Mus musculus: one gene and its partners. The protein of the gene in region 3 purifies or fractionates together with the protein of the main gene of each other region. This does not show direct contact. Links are inferred from orthologs where the notes say so. Each region holds a gene or a part of one and is shown on either strand. Other genes may lie near its edges.

What was found.
Region 1: the proteins of Rassf1 (region 3) and Map1b purify together in Homo sapiens (affinity purification with mass spectrometry; 3 studies listed by BioGRID and IntAct, counting the BioPlex papers as one, with this or other methods). This does not show direct contact. The link is inferred for Mus musculus from reciprocal best matches to the Homo sapiens genes RASSF1 and MAP1B.
Region 2: the proteins of Rassf1 (region 3) and Sav1 purify together in Homo sapiens (affinity purification with western blotting; 3 studies listed by BioGRID, with this or other methods). This does not show direct contact. The link is inferred for Mus musculus from reciprocal best matches to the Homo sapiens genes RASSF1 and SAV1.

Annotation. Positions count from the first base shown.
Region 1 is NC_000079.6:99,424,392-99,431,158, forward strand, and holds part of Map1b (microtubule-associated protein 1B), read right to left. Parts: coding exon 4,821-6,767; intron 3,067-4,820; coding exon 2,828-3,066; intron 1,571-2,827; coding exon 1,415-1,570; 3' UTR 1-1,414. UniProt on the Homo sapiens protein: Facilitates tyrosination of alpha-tubulin in neuronal microtubules. Phosphorylated MAP1B is required for proper microtubule dynamics and plays a role in the cytoskeletal changes that accompany neuronal differentiation and neurite extension.
Region 2 is NC_000078.6:69,982,502-69,990,030, reverse strand, and holds the start of Sav1 (protein salvador homolog 1), read left to right. Parts: upstream 1-3,028; 5' UTR 3,029-3,263; coding exon 3,264-3,357; intron 3,358-5,378; coding exon 5,379-5,822; intron 5,823-7,529. UniProt on the Homo sapiens protein: Regulator of STK3/MST2 and STK4/MST1 in the Hippo signaling pathway which plays a pivotal role in organ size control and tumor suppression by restricting proliferation and promoting apoptosis.
Region 3 is NC_000075.6:107,548,656-107,556,058, reverse strand, and holds the start of Rassf1 (ras association domain-containing protein 1), read right to left. Parts: upstream 4,505-7,403; 5' UTR 4,463-4,504; coding exon 4,213-4,462; intron 1,922-4,212; coding exon 1,815-1,921; intron 1,477-1,814; exon of another isoform or gene 1,281-1,476; coding exon of another isoform or gene 1,134-1,280; intron 1-1,133. Other genes in the region: Zmynd10 (zinc finger MYND domain-containing protein 10), read right to left, coding at 5,023-5,098, 5,194-5,319, 5,440-5,561, 5,650-5,775, 6,012-6,184, 6,493-6,593, 6,691-7,031, 7,126-7,179 and 1 more. UniProt on the Homo sapiens protein: Potential tumor suppressor. Required for death receptor-dependent apoptosis. Mediates activation of STK3/MST2 and STK4/MST1 during Fas-induced apoptosis by preventing their dephosphorylation.

The DNA of each region.
Region 1 (6,767 bases), on a different chromosome or scaffold from region 3:
TCTATGAAAAGTTCTCGAGTAGCTAAAAAAAAAAAAAAAAAAAAAAAAAATCTTCTGTACATGTGTTCCCATGTGTTGAAATTAATGGAAAATTAAAATAGCCAATGCAAGACAAAGGAAGGCAGATGCTGTACACTTGCTGAGAGCTCTTCCACCATAAGATTCACTGTTTTCCTGGTTCTGATCAAAGAAGCCATTCCGGTCTTGAACTTGAAGAATTAAAGAAGCTACGAAAGGTGCAACGGATTTGGTTGAGTGGCCACGGGTACATCAGAAGTGGTGATGTTCACCAAGCATGACTCTGCACTAAACCGTTGGGCCAATCAGATGAGCTTCTGGTACCTTCCCTCCCCACACGCTCCTTTCCCTGGAGTATCTACAATCCTACATGGATGGTTTAAAAACTTGCTGTCTCACATTAAAAAATAAGTGCATCAGGTGTCTTTGTACATTCAAGTCACTTCCTAAGGCAAAATGTCTCCCATGTGTACTCCCACCTGCTTTGGTATTTGCTTCAGTTAACCGGGGTGGACTTGGGTGTTGCTGCATGCAGCTTGACTTGGTGTGGACTTGGGTAGACAAATGCTGGGAGCATGCCTTAGATCAACCTACTCACGTGTTCGAAAAGTCTGAGAGTTCTGAATGGGGCGCAAACCACTCACTCATCCAGTCTACACTTGCTACATTATGCCGTGTGCAGCCTTTATAATAGCAAAGGCATTGAATTAAGGCGTGAAAAAGCTCATGCCCTCGTAACAGGCTTCATTCTTTTTGTTCTTTAGAAACACGCTTTAGGAGAATAAGACTCTTTCTGATGACTCTGATGAAAATGGGAAACTCCACCTGTGTAGACCACAGAATAGCTGTGGTCTGAGAAAATGCAGACCTGGTTGCTGGTGTCTTCTCTATACCCCATCTTGCCCACTCTCTCTCCCTGGGCATCTCATCAGAACTCTCTACCTTTGTCTCTTGCATTCTTTTTCTTTCTGATTCTTCCCCTCTCACTCTCTCTCTCTCTCCTGCAGTCTCTTTGTCCCTCTCTCCCGCCTCTCTCCCTCCCCTCCCGCTGACTCTCTTTCCCTCTCTTTCTCTCTCTATGATAAATGCCAATACCTAGCAGAAGTCAGTTGGGTGCGTGAGTGCATGGCTTCCGAATGTTCAGCAGAGATGAACGGGGGTAGGCAATTTTGCAGTAACTCGAAATCTATTGTGGGAATATGGTTACTTCCCTTAGCAGTCAGCAAAAATTGAGAACTATCAGTGACTTGCATCACCATGACATAGTATAGCATCTGGCAGGTAATAACTGTTCAGTGACTTAATTGGATGAATGGACGTTTTAGAAAAGGTAGTTTCAAATTCAAGAATTTCTGGAAACACAGTTCAAATCCTGTGGTGTGGCCGGCTGCGGTCTCTACAGTTCTATCTTGCATGCGGGGAAGGACTCGTCTTGCATGACCACTGTACTGCTGCTTGCTAAGACCATGATGTTGAGGTCCTGCTGCTTCTCGTGGGTCTCCTGGTACCACTCCCTCATCACCTCGGAGTCATGTGTCGGAATCAGAGTCACCTACGGAGGGGGAGAAAAGGAGATATTTAAAGGACAGCAGGGATAGATGCCAGAGTAAAAACAGAACAAGGTGTCTGTTGGATCACTAGCAGAAAGGGATAAAAGGAAAAAAAATGCCGTTTTACCAGAAAAATACCAATGAAGTTTTCAACTGATGTTTTCCAAGAACCACAACCAAGCTGTAAAAATTAGAAGGTTTTTTTTTTTAATTTAAAAAAAATTTTTTGGGATGTCATTGAAGGGAAGAGTTCAAGCCTAGAATCTAAATTACCTAGGAACTTGCATGTAAATTTCAGATGGCTTTTTAACGAAGTGGTGTTGAGAACTGTTTGTTTCTCGTGTTTCCATTAACATGGGGCAGATGTTGTACAGCCTATATATTCCACACTTAGTGCACGAAGTTTAATATTGTAGCTCAAACCCCCAGAAGCCCACACATTGGCCTGAAAACAGAGTCTGTGCTGTAGGAGGGGAGTACCGACTTTGGTACTTCTCATGTGAACACTGTGGAATTCTTTGGAAGCAACCTTATGGAAGATGTGAGCACAAGTTGCTAGGTGATGATTTGCAGTCCCACAAATCAGATAACCAGTGATCAGAGCCCAATAGGAACATGGAGACTGGATGGTTCATAGCCAGCCCGGAGGGGCTGGAGCAGAATATATCCGGAGAGGAGAGGCAATGACACCAGTCTGGAATTTCACCTGGAGACTTGATCCCACGTATCTTGGCCAGTGACCATGTTCCTAGCTTTAGTCTACTAGTGAGTAAGATAATTCCTTAGCAGCAATTCCACAGGCTCAGGACAACTTTGATTCACACATACAATACTCAGAATTGGGGGGAGAGAGGCAGGGTTGGGACAGCAATTCATTTCAGGTCATTTTACCGATGTGTGGACTCTGTCTTAGGTAAGGCGGTGCTCCTCCACTGCTACTGATAGTGACCCTGTCAAGGAGGCCACCTTAGGCTATCTTCTGTAAGCTAAACTGACCTGTTATTTGAACTACAAGTTCCTAGCTGATTTAGATTCTAGGCTACAACTCCTCCCCTCGATGAAAAAAGAATTAATTTTTACAGCTTGGTTGTGGTTCCTGGAAAACATCAGTTGAAAACTTCATTGGCATATTTCACATGCAACAGTCAGGAGGCACTACATGTGGATCCACAGGGACAAAGACGCCTATTTCAATGTTTCCTTCTCTTTACTTCTATAATGAGTTCAAATGCACCTCAGACATGGCCCCATGCTCTTACCTGCATGTTGCTTCCCCACTGAGCCTTCCCTTCCAACAAGGCATCCAGGACAGCCCGGCTGGGCTCCTCCGCGGCAGGGTCGTTCCCACTCACCACGTAGTAAGATGACCTCACTCTCTTGAAGAACTCAACATCGACATTCTTACTGTTGCTGTGGTTGGGAATATAGCACAGGTCCAAATACACAGGGAGGCCTGGAGGCACGGTGGACGACTTGGCTGTCTTAGTGGTTCCTGGTCCTTTGGGAACAAACACAAAGCAAGGGTCATAGCAGTGTGAAGACACAGACACATCCACGGATCCCCAGCTGCAGTCTCTGGGACATGAAAGGGATGGTAGGAGTCCCAGTTCCCTGGCTCCTCATGTAGGGCCTCCAACATTAGGAGAAATTATACCGTGCTTCTTTACCAGCTCAATAGGAGAAACTGAAAAAGACTTGGCTTCCCTTTGCAGACAACCCCTTAGGAAGAAAAGAAAAAAGAGTTTCTTCGATTTGTTTTTTTTTAAAGGCATTAGTGCCAGGTAGTGGTGATGCATGCCTTTAATCCCTGCACTCGAGAAGCAGAGTCATATGGATCTCTAGGAGTTTGAGGACAGGCTGGTCTATGAAGTGAGTTCCAGGACAGCCGGGGGCTGTTATATAAAGAAACCCTGTCTCGAGAAAGCCAATATATATATATGTAGGAATTAGATAAGAGTACTCTCCATCCAAAGGGTCTACTTGTACTAATGTGTATTTTAGTTTGAAAAGCTCTATAAGACAGAGGCTTAACTTATGGATCCTGATGCCATACGGAATTGAAAAACTAAACATGAATGGACAAATATGTTTTTCAACAGTAAGAAATTTCTGATCACCCATTGAACTTAATTTAAAATCAGATGTAATGATGCATGGGGTTTCCGGTCATGTGTGCAGCATGGCACACACAGCTTCACGGTAGCCCTGGTTCTGGTCCCACAGTGTGCTCGCTGTCTTACTCTGCAATACAATGGGTGGTGTCTGAAACACACTGCTCTTGTAGAAACAGAAGAGTTGAATTATGGAAACAAAGGCTTCTCATAGTTTTCTACCATTGCATCAGCACCTAAGTATCAAACTAGTGTATCTTTAGATTGGTTCATGCTACAATGATTTAAAAATAAAACACTGCTATTTGAGTTAACGTCTTGAGCTTCAGGGGAAAAATGTTTAAGAAATTTGGGGTTGGAGCTTGGAAATAATTGCCAATAATTTCTGAAATGGCAAGAACCTACCTCACAAAAACAAAAGAAAAGTCTCAAGTCATCACTAAGGAATGGAGATTGCTGGCTATCAGTGGCGAATGGGGAGCCAGCAGGCATTTCTACTTAGCTCCTGCTGAGTGGAATTCCGGGCCTGAGAAATCACTGTGCTAGCAAGGCCGTGGGTAGAAAGGAGAAACAACTTTAACGGTTTCCTCTTTTTCTACTCGATATTTATTGGTCAACTGGAATCAAATTGTTTACTAGCAGGTAAGAAAACACGGCAGATGTTTCAATGGGCACATATATTGCCTACATGTTAGGATTTTTTCCCCAAAGGTGTACATTTTTATAATTTTACATTTTAAATTTTACAGAAGAAATAAATATCGGGCTTAGACAAAATTCCAGGTTTGCCAGGGAAACCTTTGGTCTGCCATACGCCTTTGGGAGTTCCTGATCTGTCACCCTGATGTGATTTTTAAGGTCAGCCTGCCTGAAGCCTCCCTGAGCAGCCCGAGACACACATCCTTAATTCTGAAGGTTTGCAACAGGCCTACAGCTGCTGTCCAGAATGACATCAGCCCAGAAATCCCACCAGACGGATCCCACCACACTTTGCTCTCTCTAAGCCACACTGGGCCAGGAGGTGAACCTTTAAGCAGAAGAGGAAGGTGGACGAAAGGTAGAGCATCAGTCCACCATTTCTGGTCTTCCCAGCAAAAGGACAGACAGAGAAGCGGGCAGGCTTTCAAGTGACCCCACCTACCTGCCGTTGCGGTCTTCGCTGATTTGGATGCAGAGGCGTTAGCTGCGTTCTTGGTCTCCTTGTCCTTCTCTTCTCCGCGTGTGGCTTTGACCTCAGGAGTGGTGGTGGTCTTTGTAGCTTTTTCCACGGATTCTTTCTTCTTGGGAGAAGCCACTCTGGACACCTTGTCGGAGGATTCCTTCAAAGCTCCTGGTTTGGGGGAAGCTGCTAAAGGCTTGGACTTCCCATCACCCTTTTTGACAGGTGAAGAGGACTTGGTCTTTGTGCCTGGCTTCTTGGTCTTGGTCTTCTCCTTCAGGTCTTTTTTCAGAGCCTTGCCTAGGTTCTGATCAACGGCCAAGGCGTCTGGGTCCACCATGGACACGTCGGGGTGGCGAGGAGAAGGGCTTCGGTCTTGCATGGGGGCTGGAGGTGGGTCCATGTGTTTGTATGTGACGGTTTTGTCTGTGGGGATAGTTTCTGACTCATCTTCAGAGTCAATATTGGCGTCGGCTGTGATGGAGGGGCACTCTTCCGTCTCTGGGGGAACATCAGAGTCTGTCTGGGATGGGGCTGACTCACTGACTGAGGTGGGTGGCGTTTCATCGCATTGCCTGCCCTGTTGTTTTCCTCCTGAAGGTGGGGGGGCTCCTCCAGACTGAGTGAGGGGCTTCTCTGATTCTTCAGTGGGCTCTTCACCAGCAAACCACTCAAGAGGATTTGGATTAATGAAGGAAGGCGAGAGCTCCGTCTTGGGATGCTTGAATTCACAGGAGGACACCAGACATAAATCAACATCCTGGCGTGCCTCTGAGGGGGACTTCTTTTCCGTAGTGTAGCATCGGTCTGAGGTCTCATAGGAGTATGTGGATGCCTGTGGGGTCTTGGTGATCTTCTCCATGGTCTCGTAACAGTATGCAGAGGTGTCTGGACTCCGTGTTGTTTTTGTACTTGTCTCGTAGGAATAGCTTTCAGACTCAGGAAAGCTGGTAATTTTCTCAGTGGTTTCATAGGAGTAGCTACAGTCGCCAAGTGTGTGGCCGCCATCCTCAGTGTCATCATAGCCATTGCTAATGTCATCCAGGAGCCTTCTGGACCTCTCAGTCTTTTCATAGGTGTAGCCGCTTACTTCAGGGGTCCGTGTCGTCTTCTCGCTGATCTCATATGAATAGCCACCCTCTTCTGGGGTCCGAGTGGTTTTCTCGGTAATTTCACAGGTGTAGCCACCATCTTCTGGGGTCTTGATGGTCTTCTCAATGGTCTCATAGGAGTACCCACTGTCACATGGGGATTTTATGGTTCTCTCTGTCTTCTCATAGTAGTAACCACCCACGTCGTGGGTCCGGATGGTTTTCTCTTGAGATTCATAGTCATAATCTTCTTCATCTGGAGATCCGGCGGCATTCTCAGGCTTTTGATAGGCATAGTTAAAGTCTCCGGGTGTCTTCCCTCCGCTGTCTTTCTCCACACTAGATGTAGTCAAATCTCTATTCAAGGCCAGATGATGTTGCATTGTATCAAATAGCATTGAGGAGCGGAAGCCATAGGGCTCTGCTGTTGCTGCATCTATTGGTGGGGAAGAGGAGGCTTGGTGAGCTGCTGCAGTCTCTTTAGCTGCAGAGGTAGAATCTGAAAAGCCAGGTGAATATAAAGGTGAGGACTCTCGTGGGGTGAGTGGAGAAATATCAGATTTCGGAGAGAGCTTCTCTCCTTCCAGGCTCTGCACTTTTTCAGACGCAAGTGAGGCATATAAGGACATCTCTCTGGGAGGAACAACATCAGAGAGAGTGTCTTCCTGAAGAGGAGAGGCTATCTGAGAAGGGGTGTGAGCTGAAGAGGTGGACGGGGAAGCCTCTACCTGAGACACAGAGATGAGCTCAGACAGATCATTATCCTGGGTGTAGGATGGCTCTTCCGTTGGCGGGATCTTATGCGACAAACTAGAGTCCTGGATATCAGAGGGACTAT
Region 2 (7,529 bases), on a different chromosome or scaffold from region 3:
TGTCTGCAGTGAGAAGGGTCCAGAAGATTAGTATATATTGCTGAAGTTAAGTTTGAGGCCAAGCAGAGCAAAAAGTCAGAAGCCAAGAGAGAAGCCAGATTGAATCAGTCAGCTCGGAGAGGAGTTTGCGACGGAAGAGCTGAGTTGAATCAGCCGGCCAGAGTTCAGTAAGAACAAGAAAGGGTGAGCTTACTCAGTGGCAAGTCTCAGAGGCTGAAAACATTCTAAGCCTAAATTAGACTGAGGCTAGAAGCTTCCAGAACTAGGCTTAGGTTAGCAGACCGAGGCAGTAAGCCTCTGGAGATGACAATTACATGAAGCGAATAAAAGTCACACTAAAGCAATTTTAGATGGGCCTAGAAACCCCGGGGGCGGGGGGCAGATTCTCAGAAGTAACCTGTCCTGTCCACGATGCCTTCCTGGTCCTCTGCTTCCAGTAACTCACGTGATGATGAAGACCCTCCCCGTCTGGCCCAGAAACAGGAAGCCAGGTGACCATGGTCTAAACCTTTAAAACTCGTAACTCTAAACCAGGTTTTCTCCTTTACATCGTTTTGTCAGACGATGGTCACAATCATGAGAAAGGTGACTAGTGTCGTTCTGCCACCAAACAGGAAGGTGATCTAAGACAACATGTAATGTTTTTTTCATGAGTTTAACATAGTTGATTTCAGAACTCCCATCCAGCTACAAAATCCTATGACTTTTCCTCTCATGAATGTGGAAAGCATACTTCACTCCATTCTCTGGAAAGCCCAGGTCTAAGGAACTATCTTAACAAGATCCCAGCAACCTCACTTCCTGTCCTCTGAGGTCAGCCTTGGGAATTTTAGGGCAACTTCTTTCTCCTTTACCTCCCTTCCTCAAATTCTTCACGGAAAACCCCATTGTCTTTTCTCTTTCACCCTTGCGTGTTCTCTATCTGCACTACCGACTCTTTAGAGCTAGCATTTGTATCTGAACCACAGCAATACTTGAGTGCGCTTCCTCTCCTCAGACAACGTGCTCTATGAACTGCGTTTGGGTAATGAAGGTTTACACAAGGAGCAACCCTTTGTTCTCTTTTTCTTTTTATTAGATATTTACATTTCAAATGTTATCCCCTTTCCCGGTTTGCCTTCCAAAAACTCCCTCTCCCCTCCTCTCTCCCCCTGCTCACCAACCCACCCACACCCGCTTCCTGGTCCTGGCATTCCCCTACACTGGGGCATAGAAACTTCACAGGACCAAGGGCCTCTCCTCCCATTGATGACCGACTAGGCCATCCTCTGCTACATATGCAGCTGGAGCTATGAGTCCCACCATGAGTAATCTTTGGTTGGTGATTTAGTCCCTGGGAGCTCTGAGAGTACTGGTTAGTTCATATTGTTGCTATGGGCTGCAAACCCCTTCAGCTCCTTGGGTCCTTTCTCTAGCTTTTTTTTTTTTTACTCTTATGCCATAATCAATCTGTCAGCAAACCCTGCTGCAACTCTAAAATGCCTACAATCACTTAGCGCTTGTCCTGCTGCCTTTATCCATATGCATGCTAGCAATATTTTTTTATCACCTCCCTTATTTTGAAACCCCACTCCCCCATTCAGTCTACTCTCACACAGCATCCAAAGTGATCGCATTAAATACGTCTCTCCTCTACTCCAAAGGCCTAGGTGGGTGGCCAGTTACCAAGGAACTTCATTTCCCTCTACTCTTCTCTGTTCCAGTTCCAGCTACGTGACCCTCTTCCTATTCCTACAATGAGCCAGAAACACGACCACTTGCAGTGACTTGCATTTGCTCTTCTGAGGCCTCACTCCAGATAGCACCATAGCAAGCTAATTCCAGCATTGCCTTCTCACTGGCTTCATTATCCGACCCCCTTTCCAAGCTGTGGGATCTCTCTTGTTTATGCTTCCTTCAGCGCTCACTCTGTTACATACTATGGCTTACTAGTTTTATTTTTTGTGATCTCTCTTCCCCATAACCGCAGGACCTTTGTTGTTATATCCCAGACACCTAAAACAGCACCTTGGATGCTGGGTGCTCAATAAAATATTTGTTATAGGATTATAGGGACCTTTAACAAGGAAACATTTCATAAAAACACAGGAGACAGACAACTGATTAAATGTCTTTGTGCATGGCTAAAAAAAAGAGCAGTTTGGTGTCTTGTTCTGAGGTTGGTGTTTTGCTTCTGTGTTTTAAGCACATTCTCTTCATTATGAAAGCCTTACTTTGATCAAGAGGAGTGAGTCCCAATCTTATTCTCCAAGTTATTCTGTGTACCTGAGCGAGTTAAAGAGAACAAAGTAGAATCTGATATATTAGATAGAAAACTCCCAGTTCTGAACTCTGGTGCTCAAAGGCTTCAAAATTCTAAGACTTAACTGCAAGAGAAGGCATGTGGTTATTAAGAATACATATTAAAATGATGAAATAAATACACTAACGTCAAATTTATCTTAGGAGCTGTAGAAACTCCATCTTCTTTTTTAATCCGAAAGCGCGGATGGGGATGGGGGGCACAAAAGGGGGTGGGCTACCAAGGGTTGGGGGAGATAATAAGAGGACAGAAGAAACGGAGACTCAGTTTTTACAGTAGTCACGCTGTCACCAGAAGAGTCATCTGTGTTACTAGGTGTAGCCCTCGCGGTCCCAGCACACCCGAGGGCTGCCTTCCCTCAGCAACCAGGACACGCGGCTGCGGTTGCGGGAAGCAGGGCGGTAGGCAAGTCCAAGGCGAGAGCCGCTCGCCGCCCAGCGGGCTCCGGACCGCCCGGACTCCAGCTCCCCAGCGGCGGGAGCCGGCCCGCGCAGCCGCACTGAGGGCCGCGATGGTCGCCACACCCGGCCCGTTAGCCGCCCGCCCGTCGCGAGTCGCCGCACGCAGCCGCGTCCGCGCCCGGCGGGGGAGGGGCGGCCCGTGCGCGTCGGCTTTCCCAGCATTCCCAGCGGCGCGGGGAAAGTTTACCGGACGTAGGCGGTGGCCGCAGCGGTAGCGGCTCCGGGCGGCGGACCATGGCCCTGGTGGGCGGCCGCGGCCCTGTCCCAAGGCGGCCTCGGGCGGCGTCGTTGAGCCGGCTGACTTCCCGGGAGGAGCTGCCCTGCGACTGAGCGGCGGCGGGCGCGCTTAGCGCGGCCAACATGCGGCGGAGCCTGCGGGCGGGCGCGGGCGGCGGAGACCCGAGGCGAAGGCGGCGGCGGCGGCCCGGGAGGCGGCGGCGGGCGGCAGGCTCGCGGCCCTAGCGAGGCTGCTGGGGCGGCGGCGGGAGTCGTCCGCGAGGATGCTGTCCCGCAAGAAAACCAAAAACGAGGTGTCTAAGCCGGCCGAGGTGCAGGGCAAGTACGTGAAGAAGGAGACGTCGCCCCTGCTGCGGAGTGAGTGTCGTGGGCGGTGGCGGGTGGGGACCCGGCGCAGCCTCGGGTGGTGCTGGAAGACCGACTCTGGGAAATGCATGGCTGTCCGTGGTGTTGGGGAAAAAGTGCTTCGACCCGGGCACCTCTCTGCTGGGTACGTCCGGGCCCCGCGTTTGCGACCATCGCAGCGCCACTCGTCGGCTCACGCACTCGCACACGCACACACACACGCGAGAGTGGATTCCTTCCTTAGTCCTGCAGCGGGACACAAACTTGTGAGGCAAAGAACCTGATACTTGATACTTGTAGCCACTACCAGCGTCCTAAGTAACACACACACACACACACACACACACACACACACACACACACACACACGAGAGACTTGATACTTGTAGCCACTACCAGCGCCCTAAGTAACACACACACACACACACACACACACACACACACACACACACACACACACACACACACACACACACACACACGAGAGAGAGACTGGATTCCTTAGTCCTTCAGCGGGACACAGACTTGTGAGGCAAAGAACCTGATACTTGTAGCCACTACCCAGAGTCTTTTCATTTCCCAGAGTAGACAAGCCATTAACGTATTTGGATTAGGCTTTGCTCCTAAAATTAAAAAAAGCAAAGTATTCAGAATAATTTCAGCCATACCAGGCAAGTTCCTAACTTTATTCCTCTTTCCGACATATGTTCCGTCCCCTCCCGTACGTAGCTTTTCTTCTCCGTTTAAAATATTTGAGTTTTTAACTTGAACGCCTTGATTCTCCTTTTTTAAAATTCTTGGGTAGTCAGAGAGCTAATCCTTTGGTTCTCATTCTAGGAGCTGGACCCCTTGTGTAAGTTTCCTTCTTGGAAACTGGAAGTAACCGTGTGACTTAAATTAAGCATTACCTCATATTGTAATTGGGAAAGCTGCTCACAGGGGTTCCTAGTATTTGCCCAAGATCCCGCAGAAAGGGGTGGAGAGCATATTTTTCCATTGTGACCATGTGTCCAGCCTTACAGGTTCTGTTAGTAGTTGGAGTGCTAGACAACACAGTTGGTGGGGTGGATGTGTCAGTAACTGAAACCATTTTTAAGAGCTTGTTTTTCTGTTTTTTTTAGGTGATAGCTTGCTTTTTGCTGCAAATAAAGTTTATTAAGCATCATTTGAAGTCATGCCACTTGTTGAGTCTTTTAGTGAGTGACTCCATACAGAATTTGTGTCATCGACAGTTAATTATTCCAATATTAAGTTACTGTAGTGTTAGCTTCTGACACCCTTAGTGACATTGATTTAATGAATTCAGAAAATGTGTTCTATATCCAGGTTTCATATTTTAAAGGTAGTTGCTTTCTAAGAACATGAAAGCTGTTTGCACATTCAAATCAGCAGCCATGACCTTGGTTTGGGTTATCTGCTTTTAAAGGAGCCATAATTCTTTCCAGGCTTTTTCAGTAGATCCAGGGTTTGTGTGCATCTTTGGAAGTAGATGACTTTATTTTTCAGTTTCCACACTGAAAGGTCTTGCTTTCTAGTTTTGATAATTGTGCTTAGAACCGGGTAATTCCTGATAGAAAGACAAAAAAAAAAAAATTACCAATAAAAAAGTCTTTTACAGGAAATCTGACTTTGCGGTTTTTTCTTTAAATTTTATTTTAATGAGATGTGTTTGTGAAGAAAGATTCTTGGTGATACTTAAATCAAGTGAAAACACCAAACTGTAGTCATACATGATGCTGGTAAAGGAATTGGTTTGTTAGGTTACTTTCAGCTTAGTGACATTGTATCATGTATGGCAATATGCAGCATCCATTCGTTTGTAGCTGAGTTTACACCTGCATATTAATGCAGATTATAAATGTATTTGCTTGGGAAAATAATCTTCATTTAAAGTTCTAGTATTGTCTTAAAATTTAAAATCTGTTTTCTTATGCCCTTTTGTTTGATATTTTGATCTCAGGATAGTAGACATAAATAACTTTAGACGAGTGTACTGACTTAATGCAATGGTGATTATATTTGTTTTATTATAGATCTCATGCCTTCATTCATTCGGCACGGTCCAACAATTCCCAGACGGACTGACCTCTGTCTTCCAGATTCAAGTGCTACTGCTTTCTCAGCTTCTGGAGATGGTGTAGTTTCAAGAAACCAGAGTTTCCTGAGAACTGCAATTCAAAGGACACCTCATGAAGTAATGAGAAGAGAAAGCCACAGACTGTCTGCCCCTTCTTACCTTGTCAGGAGCCTAGCAGATGTCCCTCGAGAGTGTGGCTCATCACAGTCATTTTTGACAGAAGTTAACTTTGCTGTTGAGAATGGAGACTCTGGCTCCCGATACTTCTTCTCAGATAACTTTTTTGATGGACAGAGAAGGCGGCCACTTGGAGATCGTGCACAAGAAGATTACAGATATTATGAATACAACCATGATCTCTTCCAGAGGATGCCACAGAGTCAGGGGAGGCACACTTCAGGTAACTCGATATAATAAACAGCACACTGGCTTATTCATACTGATATTTAAATTAAAAGGTGACCTGAGGATTTTCTTGGAAAGCAAAAAAAGCAAAACAAACCATACTCTTAGAGGGGAAAAAATTTCCATTTTGCCCTTCTTGCTTCCTCCTGCTTGCTGGTAGTTTTTAACTTATAATGAAGGACAGAATTCTTGTGTCTGTCCTCTATGTCATATTTTTGGCTTTTTGTAGGCAATTACTATTCCCCAGGTTGGTTAAAAAGACTGAGCAGATGGCTCACTTTGTGTGAAACATGCCTTTTTTTGTAACAGGCAGGAAACCCTGGCACTTCCTTTTCCCTTGACCTGGAAGGGCTTCTCCGAGGTGGGGATTAAGGAATGTTGCAGCTCCACTTAATTTCTAAAATGGCCATTACTGTAGATAAACTGGTAGAAGCTAAAAAGAGAACTTTCATCCTGTTTAGTAACTGTTAGGCTTTAAATTTGGCAGGGTAAAGATTGTGTGAGGTTGGTTTGCTTTTTAGTGGCCACAGCTTCTAATAAACTGACTTAACAGTTTGGAACATAACTGTATCAGCCATGAAGTTTGCTTTTATTTAATATTAATTATATGTTTAGCATTTTCTTGATCCTCTTGGGATATCTTATTTAGTGAGACAAAACCAGCATACACTTAATAGTCGTGGAACAACGAATGGTTATACTTTGTAGTCCTCACTGTTGAGGGAGCAGAGAAAGACCAGTGTAATTGGACTACTTAAAGGAATGCACACTCCAAGGAGCAGAGAAAGTTTGAAGTAGGCTTTGAGCTTGGACTGGACATTAACAAGGCAGAAGAAAGACATTTTAGGTTGAAAATTGGGAATACCCACTGCAAAATGAAGTGCAGTGGCTTAAATTTAAGAGATTATATTCCTACGTATTTTAAGAAATACGGTAGTAAGGTGAAATGGAGATTCATGGTCCAACAGAAAGTTTAGACTTGAAATCAGCCATTGTATAGCTCAAGATCAATGCCTGGAGAGTTGGCTCTGTGCTTAAGAGCACTGGCTGTTGTTTCAGAGGACTGGGTTCATTTCCTAGCATTTATGTGGAGACTCACAACCTATAACTCCAGTTCAAGGGGATTCGACGCCCTCTTCTGGCTTCTGTAGGCACTAGGCATGCAGTGTGTGTGCACTGTGTTCAAGTACTAAAAGCATCGGATCCTCTGAAGTGGAGTTGTAAGCACTCGTGAGCTGCCATATGGGAACAGAACCCATGTCCTCTGCAAGTCCAGCAAGTGTTCTTTTTTTTTTTTTTTAAGAATGAGCTGTATTTAATTTAAAAAAGAGGGGAGGATTGTACCCCACAAATGATACAGTAATGAGGATACACAAATTCCATAGCATGACTGAAGTGTTCACTGTGTTTGATGTCGTCACAATGGAAGGCATAAAAAGTGGAGTACATTGATGCTGACACAGTCCACTCCAGTCCACCAGGCCAGATGGTGCAAGAAATCATTAAATCAAAAGTGCCCTTCCCTCCCTTCCCTGAATGGCTAGCAGACACGGAAAACAGCCTGGGATGCAGCCACACAGCTTTCTCCATGAGGCTATCAAATGTGTTGTTGAATGGCACACTGTCAAACACTGGAAAGGGGCGCCACAATGGACCACTCTTTTATAGGTATGAATGCTAGATTCAACTATCTCCCTAAGCA
Region 3 (7,403 bases):
GCTAAGCACTCTACAGCTAAGTCAGCTATAAACTTCAGCTGCTTTTAAACAATTCTTCTCTTTGTATGCCTTTCAACTGGCCAGTATCTTATATTTTCCCCCACCTCTCCATAATAGAAGATGACTCAGGTTGAGTGGTATGGAGACAATCCCAGAGACACCCTCCCGCCCCCACTCCCACCCCACATTGAGTCTAAAGTCTGGACTAAGGTTTTGGAGGTGTCAAGTAGCAGTCCACCTGTAGGAAATTTATATCAAATCTCACCTACAGCATCACAGACAATTCCACTTTCTTGGCTCAAATAAGGAGTTCTAGTTCAGTGCTACTAAGTTTTCTAACCTCAGTCTCCGTCCTCACTTTCCTGATTCGCTGGCCTCTGTGCTGTTCCGAGGGATTCCCGCTCCAGAACAAGTTATCCGAGCTTGGTGGCCACAACTATGATATTCCCAGAAAGTCGGATAATTTGGGCACATCTAGACTTTTTAAAGAGGTTCAGCTGCCCTGGTACCACACTTTTTTTTTTTTAATAGTCTTTTAAGGCCCTCTTCCTGAATTCCCCAAATCCCTCTGCACAGTTCCACCATGGAGGAAAGAAAGATCGAGTCCAGCAGCTGGTGTCAAAGAGTTGGTCGAGCAACGGCTGGGCACTTTGCTGGCTGATCCAAGACCGCATCACGGCACGGCCAGAGTCCCCTCCCAAACTAACTTCTCACTTCCCGGTGGACTCCTCCTCCACTTCCTCATTTCCCCCAGGGAGGGAGTGGGAGCGCCCAAATGCGAAATCAAGACGCCGGTTTGGATTGCGAGTCTGGCTTTAGTCATGGGTGAAAAACGCCCGCCTGTGGTCCACCCTTCAAGCTTCAGAGTTGCTTCCCCCTGGCTCAACCGGTCTGTGACTGCAAGGGCAGGGTAGCCTGGGTCCTCAGTACCATCGCGCTGGAACTGGGCTTCTACTCGGGACAGAGAACCCTACGTACGCTTCCTCGCTTTTGTCAGGACCCTCCGAGTGGCTCGCTATGGAGAGGCGGGGAGGCTGCCCATCACCTAACTTTCCAGGCCGCAACTTACCGGGGAGGGGCGGGGTTCCAGCGACCGCCCCTCACCCGCCGGCGGCACCCCCCGGGCTCCCCACCTGGTCCCGACGCGGCCTGCGGACCAGCGAGGTACGCGCCGTGAAGTACTGCTCGAGCTCCGAGTCCGAGTCCTCCTGGCTGCAGTAGCCACTGCTGGTTGTGCTGCTCCAGGTCATTTCGAAGGAAGGTGTTTCAGCCTCGCCCATCGCCTTACCCGCCCGATCCCTAGTCCACTGCGTGGAGAGCCTCTAACCACCGCCTCGGGCGCGTGCGTGCGTGCGTGCGTGTGAGTGTGTCAGGTCGCGCTTGCGCGGAGGCCAGCGCCGCGCGGCAACCGTTAGGACTGAAACGTAGACAGCCCGACTTTAGCTCTGGTGTCGAGGGGGGTGAGGGGGTGAAGACGTCGAGGGGCGGGGCCACGACGCTACAGCTCGACGGATGACCTCATCGCAGAGGCATCTCCACTCGGCTCCGCCTCTCAGGTCCCGCCTCCCAGCGGGCCGGGGCGTGTGCGCATGTGCACCGCCGCTGCCCTTAGGGCCGGAAGCGGGGTGTGAGAGGTGCGCGTGCTCCCAGCCAGGGAGCGCCTTCGCCTGACAAACCCAGCGAAACTAGCATCTCTGATGCCGGGAAATTGATCACTGGGGTGTTCATTATGCACGGCGTAGGGATTAACCCTGCACACCTCCGCCGAGTCTCGGCTTCCCTCCCGGCCCGCCCTCCCCCGACCCCGCGCTCACCACGTTCGTATCCCGCTCTAGTGCAGAGTCCCAGCCCAGGTCTCGGGGCCCGCAGCAGTCCAAGCAGACGAGCGCGCGACAACGGTAATGGCAGGTGAACTTGCAGTCTGCAGAAAGGGCTGGCCGTGAGGCGGGGGAGCTCGGCGAAGTGACCCACTGAATGAGGGAGCCTCTGTTAACAGGTTTTGGGGCTCACTGGCCTTTTCTCCAGCCGGTTACCGCCCACTGCTACACCGATCCCAGAGGCCTCGGTTAGGCACCTCTGGACACTTGCTGGGAGGCCTCAGGCGGTTAGGGATCCAAGCATGCTTAACACTTGTGCCGAGCTATTACTTAGCTTTGCCATTAACTTGAAAACAAAGGCATTTAATTTACGACTTCCTGTATTTGTCCTCTGCCCCTGTTGTTGGGTTTCAGACGAGCGGCAGAGGTGCATATGTAACGCATCAAAGCAGACCTGGCCTCCAGATTCCCCGAGCATCCCTTAGCCCACACCTCTTGCAGGATATAGCTGGCATACCAGAACTGGGCTTCCCCTCCCCCAAAGGCTCTTACCTATATAATCCAGACATTTTGTCCTCGTTCCCCTCCTCTGTCTCTTTTTCTGTCTCTGCATTTCTTTCTCCTTGCGTACACATCCTCCCTCTTACCCTGTCTGCATGGCGACTTCCCTAGCCTCCTTCCTTGGGATCGGTGAACCTGCCGCCCCCAATAAACCTCCTTTCATACTCTCAATTCCGCTTGAATTGGCTTACTTCTTCGGCCGAAAAAAACCTATTAGTCTCCACTTGTTTACACAAGTCTATTTTGGTTTTTGAGAAAGAATCTCATAGAGTTCAGGTTAGCCCCAAATGGTAACCTTGAACTTGGTGATCCTCCTGCCTCCAACAGCTCCAGTGTTAGGATTATTGTCCACGAGCCACAATGTCCAGTGGACATGTCTAACGTTTTGACTTCTGTACCCATTATCTGGATTGTTAAATCCTTCAGTTCCTGCTTGCTCCTCCTGACTCCCAGGGGCAGCACCCACTGGCCAGGCTTCCTTCTCACTCCTCTGCCGCTCTTGCCAGCAGCCTCTCCTTAGTTCTATAAAGGCCCAGGTCTCATAGTTGATGTCCAGGTTTCTCACCTGGGTACTGTCCCAGCTCTGACTACACTCACCTGATCCAGATCCCAGGCAGCACTGATCGGCCTCTTCAGACCAAATCCTATGTGCAGTGCCTTCACATTAATGTCTAATGAAGATTTCTAATGAATATGGCCAAAATGTCATTTTTTTCCCCACTTCACTCCACCCCAGGGTTCCTATCTCAACAAGTTATCACTGTAAGCCCAATCTGAAGCAAACCCTCCATTTGCCTTTGGTTTCTTCCTTATCTCCCAAACTGTCTTGCTTCCTAGACAAGAACCCCAGAGCAGCTTTCTTTCTCCTTGTGAATGCTGAGATGCCGCAGCTCTTGCTCTCATGTGGCATTCTGTCACAAACTGCTACACTAGCTGAGTTTGTGACATACTTGTATAGTGAATGAGATGATCTGGAGGCACACACAGGCCTACAGTGCCATTTTTAAGTTCCTATATGGCCCAAAGCACCGATTCTCAACTCAAAACTATACATCAGAACTTGGGAGGCAGGGGCAGGTGGGTTGCTTGTCACAGCCTGGTCTGCATAGAGAGTTCTAGGCAAGCCAGGGCTGCAGAGTGAAACCCTGTCTTAAAACACAACAAAACAACCAAAAAACCAAACCAAAACAGAAAAACCAGGATGCCTAAGGTCCACTTTCAACAACGGAGTCAACAAGTCTGAGAGGAGAAGTAGGCGCGAGGAGACTGGAAGGTATATATTGTCCTGCGTGGTTCTGTTTGCTGGTAATTCCTAGGTCAGAAGGACCACTCATTGTGTGTGTGGCTGGACTCCATGTTTTAGCCTCTGCATCCTTGACTCAAAACAACCTTGACTGAAGTTTCAATAGAATTCCTACTAACAAGGAGCCTAACTAAGGTTCTAACTTTTTCTGGCCCCCTATTAATGTGGGAGACGTCACCCAGGAATCTAGAGGGGGAACACAGTGAGCCAATCGTTGGGAAGAGGCGGGCCTCGGAATGTAGGCTCAGAGCTCAGCAGGCACAAAGGCTTTTCAAGAAAGGGCACAAGCACTTTAAAGACAAACTTGAAGCACCTTCTTATTCACAGACAACTAACTCTGCCCAACTGTGCACGGACAGAGCGTGACAAGTGATAAACCATTTTCTCAAGCACTCTCCCTGATGGAGCAAGGCCAGGAGATCTGGTCTGCAGGATCATCACAACTGACCAGCCCTCCACTGCCGCTTGACCCGCAACTATGGTGCTGCCTCCCTTTCCGTAGTCGCTGGCTGTGTGGGGCCGCTTACTCACGCGCGCACTGTAGGCCCTTGCGCACGACGCCCCAGATGAAGTCTCCACAGAGGTCGCACCACGTGTGCGTGGTGGGCCCTGCAGGCTGGAAACGGTGGCCACGACCCGGGACGTGCTGCTGTGACGGATTGCGTGTTGTACCCGGGGCGATGCGCAGAGCGTTGGCACGCTCCAGCCGGGTACGGCCTGGACCGATGCGCCCGGACGGTGCCAGCTCGCGTAGTTCAATGAGTTCTGGCTCCGCCGACATGGCCCGGTCAGGCCGGTGCTGTAGCGGACTAGCAGCTAGTGAGTACCGAGCGGGCGAGGCCGCAGGGCGGGCCGCGACTTCGGCACCGCCCCCAGGATCCAGGCAGGGCGGCGGGAAAGAGCCGAGGAGGACGCGCTGGAACCCTAGGCGAGCCGACCGTGTGGACTTGTGGGCGGGGCACGGCACAGGGGTGGGCCCTTTCAAAGAGCCCCTTCCCAATCTTTCCGTCCAGTCTTCTCCCCCGACCCCAAGGATGACTGTACAGCGCCACACTGTTGCGTTTCATGAGTCTGCTTTATTGTGCGAAAGGAAGAGGGTCTCCACATCCGGCCCTTGCTTACACCCCCCAACCCTGTCTGCCAGTTTGCTGATGCTGTGGCCTGGTCCTCTGCGTATTCGCTGGGTGGGGCAGGAAGTGAAGAGTGTGGTGGTTTGCAGCTCTACTTGACTCAGCTGTGCTCACCAGGGAAATTGAGGTCTGACAGGGGCGAGCCACGAGTCCCTGAAGCTCAGTCACAGTCTGGGTGCGCTCTTCTGTCGGCCCTCGGCAGCTACGGCCTTCACTTGGCTCTGTCACCTTGGGCTGCTAGAACACATGTCTTTCCGTGCTTCTCCCAGTGCTTGACTTGACACTCCCTGCAGCGGGGTGGGTTGCATGACAATGACAGGGCTTGTAGGAGAACCCAGGGTTGGAGCTTAGGGGGGCAACTAAGGTCCCAGGATCGCCTCACCTGCAGCAATACCACACATTCTGGCATCTGGAGCAGCGCTTGGAGGCCTCTGCGTTGCAGTAGCCGCAGCGGGGCCTCTCCGGAGCTACTGCCTCTAGGACATCCAGCCTGTAGGTTTCAGCCCACCTGGGGGAGGAGTCGAGAAGAGCTGAATGGACGGACCGGGCAGGTAGGTGCACAGAAGCACTAGGTGACCTTCCCTCCTTGGTCCTATGCACGTGACTTCAGCCACTCAGTGGACTTTACCTCTGTGCTTGTTGACGAAGATCCTTCTCCGAGAGGCTGAATACGTGCTGAAGCTGGTGCTTGGCGATAGCCTGCCATTTCCCTTTGTTCTCTCTCTCCAGGCGATCCCAGATTTCTGGGATCTAAAAAAGTGTAATGGAGACAGGGAGGAAGGAGCCGGAAAAGTGGACCACCGTCCCAAGCACTCCCAAGCATGTTCTAGGGCCTTACCTGTTCTAACACTAGGTCCTTCTTAGGGGGCTGGGTTTCAGCCAGGGACAGGTGGGCCAGGAAACCCTTCAGATCGGCAAGATTGGGCAACTGGTCGAGTAGTGTGTCAGTGAGGAAGGCCTGAAGCTGCAAGAGATCCAGGGAAGGCCATTGAGAAACTAACTGTTCCTAGCCAGAGGGCCAAGAGACAGGAAGTCCTGAAATTGGGCTGAGCGTCCTTGGAGGGTTTGCATCTTACCAGCTCCCCTGTCGATGCCTGAAGCCCAAGTTGTGGAAAGGGGACAGGGACAGGCCAGGATGCCCTGGGGGGTGGGTCTGGGCAGGGGGGCAGTGGGGCTGGGCGGGGTCATTGAGTTCTCCACCTTAAGCAGCTGTCCCTTGGCAAAGCTTGTAAGGCAGTAACGGGCTCGGGCCTCAGGGCTGAGCAGTAGATTGTACAGGGCGATCCATACTTGCCCATCCAGTTTATTCAGCTTTTGCTGCTCTGAGGGGGCCACCGTCTGCCATCGGCCACTCTCAAAATGCTGCAGCTTGCCTGGGGGAGGAGAAGGAGCCCACCGGATGCCGGTGGGTGTTGTGTTATCTTTGAGAGTGTGTGGTCCGGAGGACTGTCCACCACTGCCTGGCAAGGTTAGAAAGCCTGGGCCACCAGACGTCAGAACAAGGTGGAGTCTTCAACAAATGGTTCACAGGACTTGTCTGCCTCAGAGTCAAACTCTAGTCCCATCTCGGGTGAGGTATCCCAGAATCCTAAATGTGTACCCTGTACCCTTCACACTGATCCTGAAGGGTGTTCTGGAAGCAGCCAGTTACATCTTAGGCAAATGGGAGGGGGAGCCTTACCTCCTACCCGCCGGCTCCAGGGACTGTGCTCCAGCAGTTCCACCAAGAGGCAGGGCAAGTTGTGAGTCCTGAGCATGCGGTTCAGTGTGCTCAGGGAAAGGCTAGAGGTAGGGTAGAAGGGTGGTCAGCAGAGGCCACGGGCCAGGACACACAGCCCCTTGTTGTGTGCTCGCCCCCGGGCCTTGGAGGGTGGCCCACCTATCCACGCAGTCTGTGATGTAGCGAAGCACCGAGAGGGCTTTCAGGGATATCTCAAATTCCATCATCTCCGCCTGCTTTTGCAGCTCCTGATGGTGCGGGAGAGGGGGGTAGGGGCACAGGCACATAGCATTCACCCTGCCTGTGGAGGCTGGAGAGAACTCACATCGAGATTTTGTTAAGTCCAGGAAACCGTAGCTTACTTGCATAGGGGTACTGTCCTGGAACTGTTCTTCTTCAGACAGGTCACCACCGCCTTTCCGGGCCACTAGCAGTATCAGCTTGCGGTGGCAATAGTCTACTAGGTCCAAGACCTTGTCATCAGCTGACTCACACACCTCCTGGGGGGGTTCAGGGAGGGGATATTTCTGGGGTTCGATGCCCTCCCCGGCCGACATAGCCCACCAGGCTCAGGCCTGCAGAGTAGTGTCTCACCTTGTGGAAGAACACTGTCTCTAGGAGATTGATGATGGAGGCCTCATGGTGTACCTGTCGAAGAGGACGGGGCTGGGCTGAGAGGGAGAGACAGGGACTGGCTGTTAGCTATCTTTCTCGGCTCAGGACTCTGAGGGCCCAGCTCACCACCATGTATATGGGGAAGGTATTCTGGGGCTTGAAGTCCTCCAGCCGGCACAGCACAGGGAAAACCTTCTGTTTCCACATCTCCACCGCAATCAGCTCCTCCACCAGCGTTGGGATCTGCGGAGGACGGG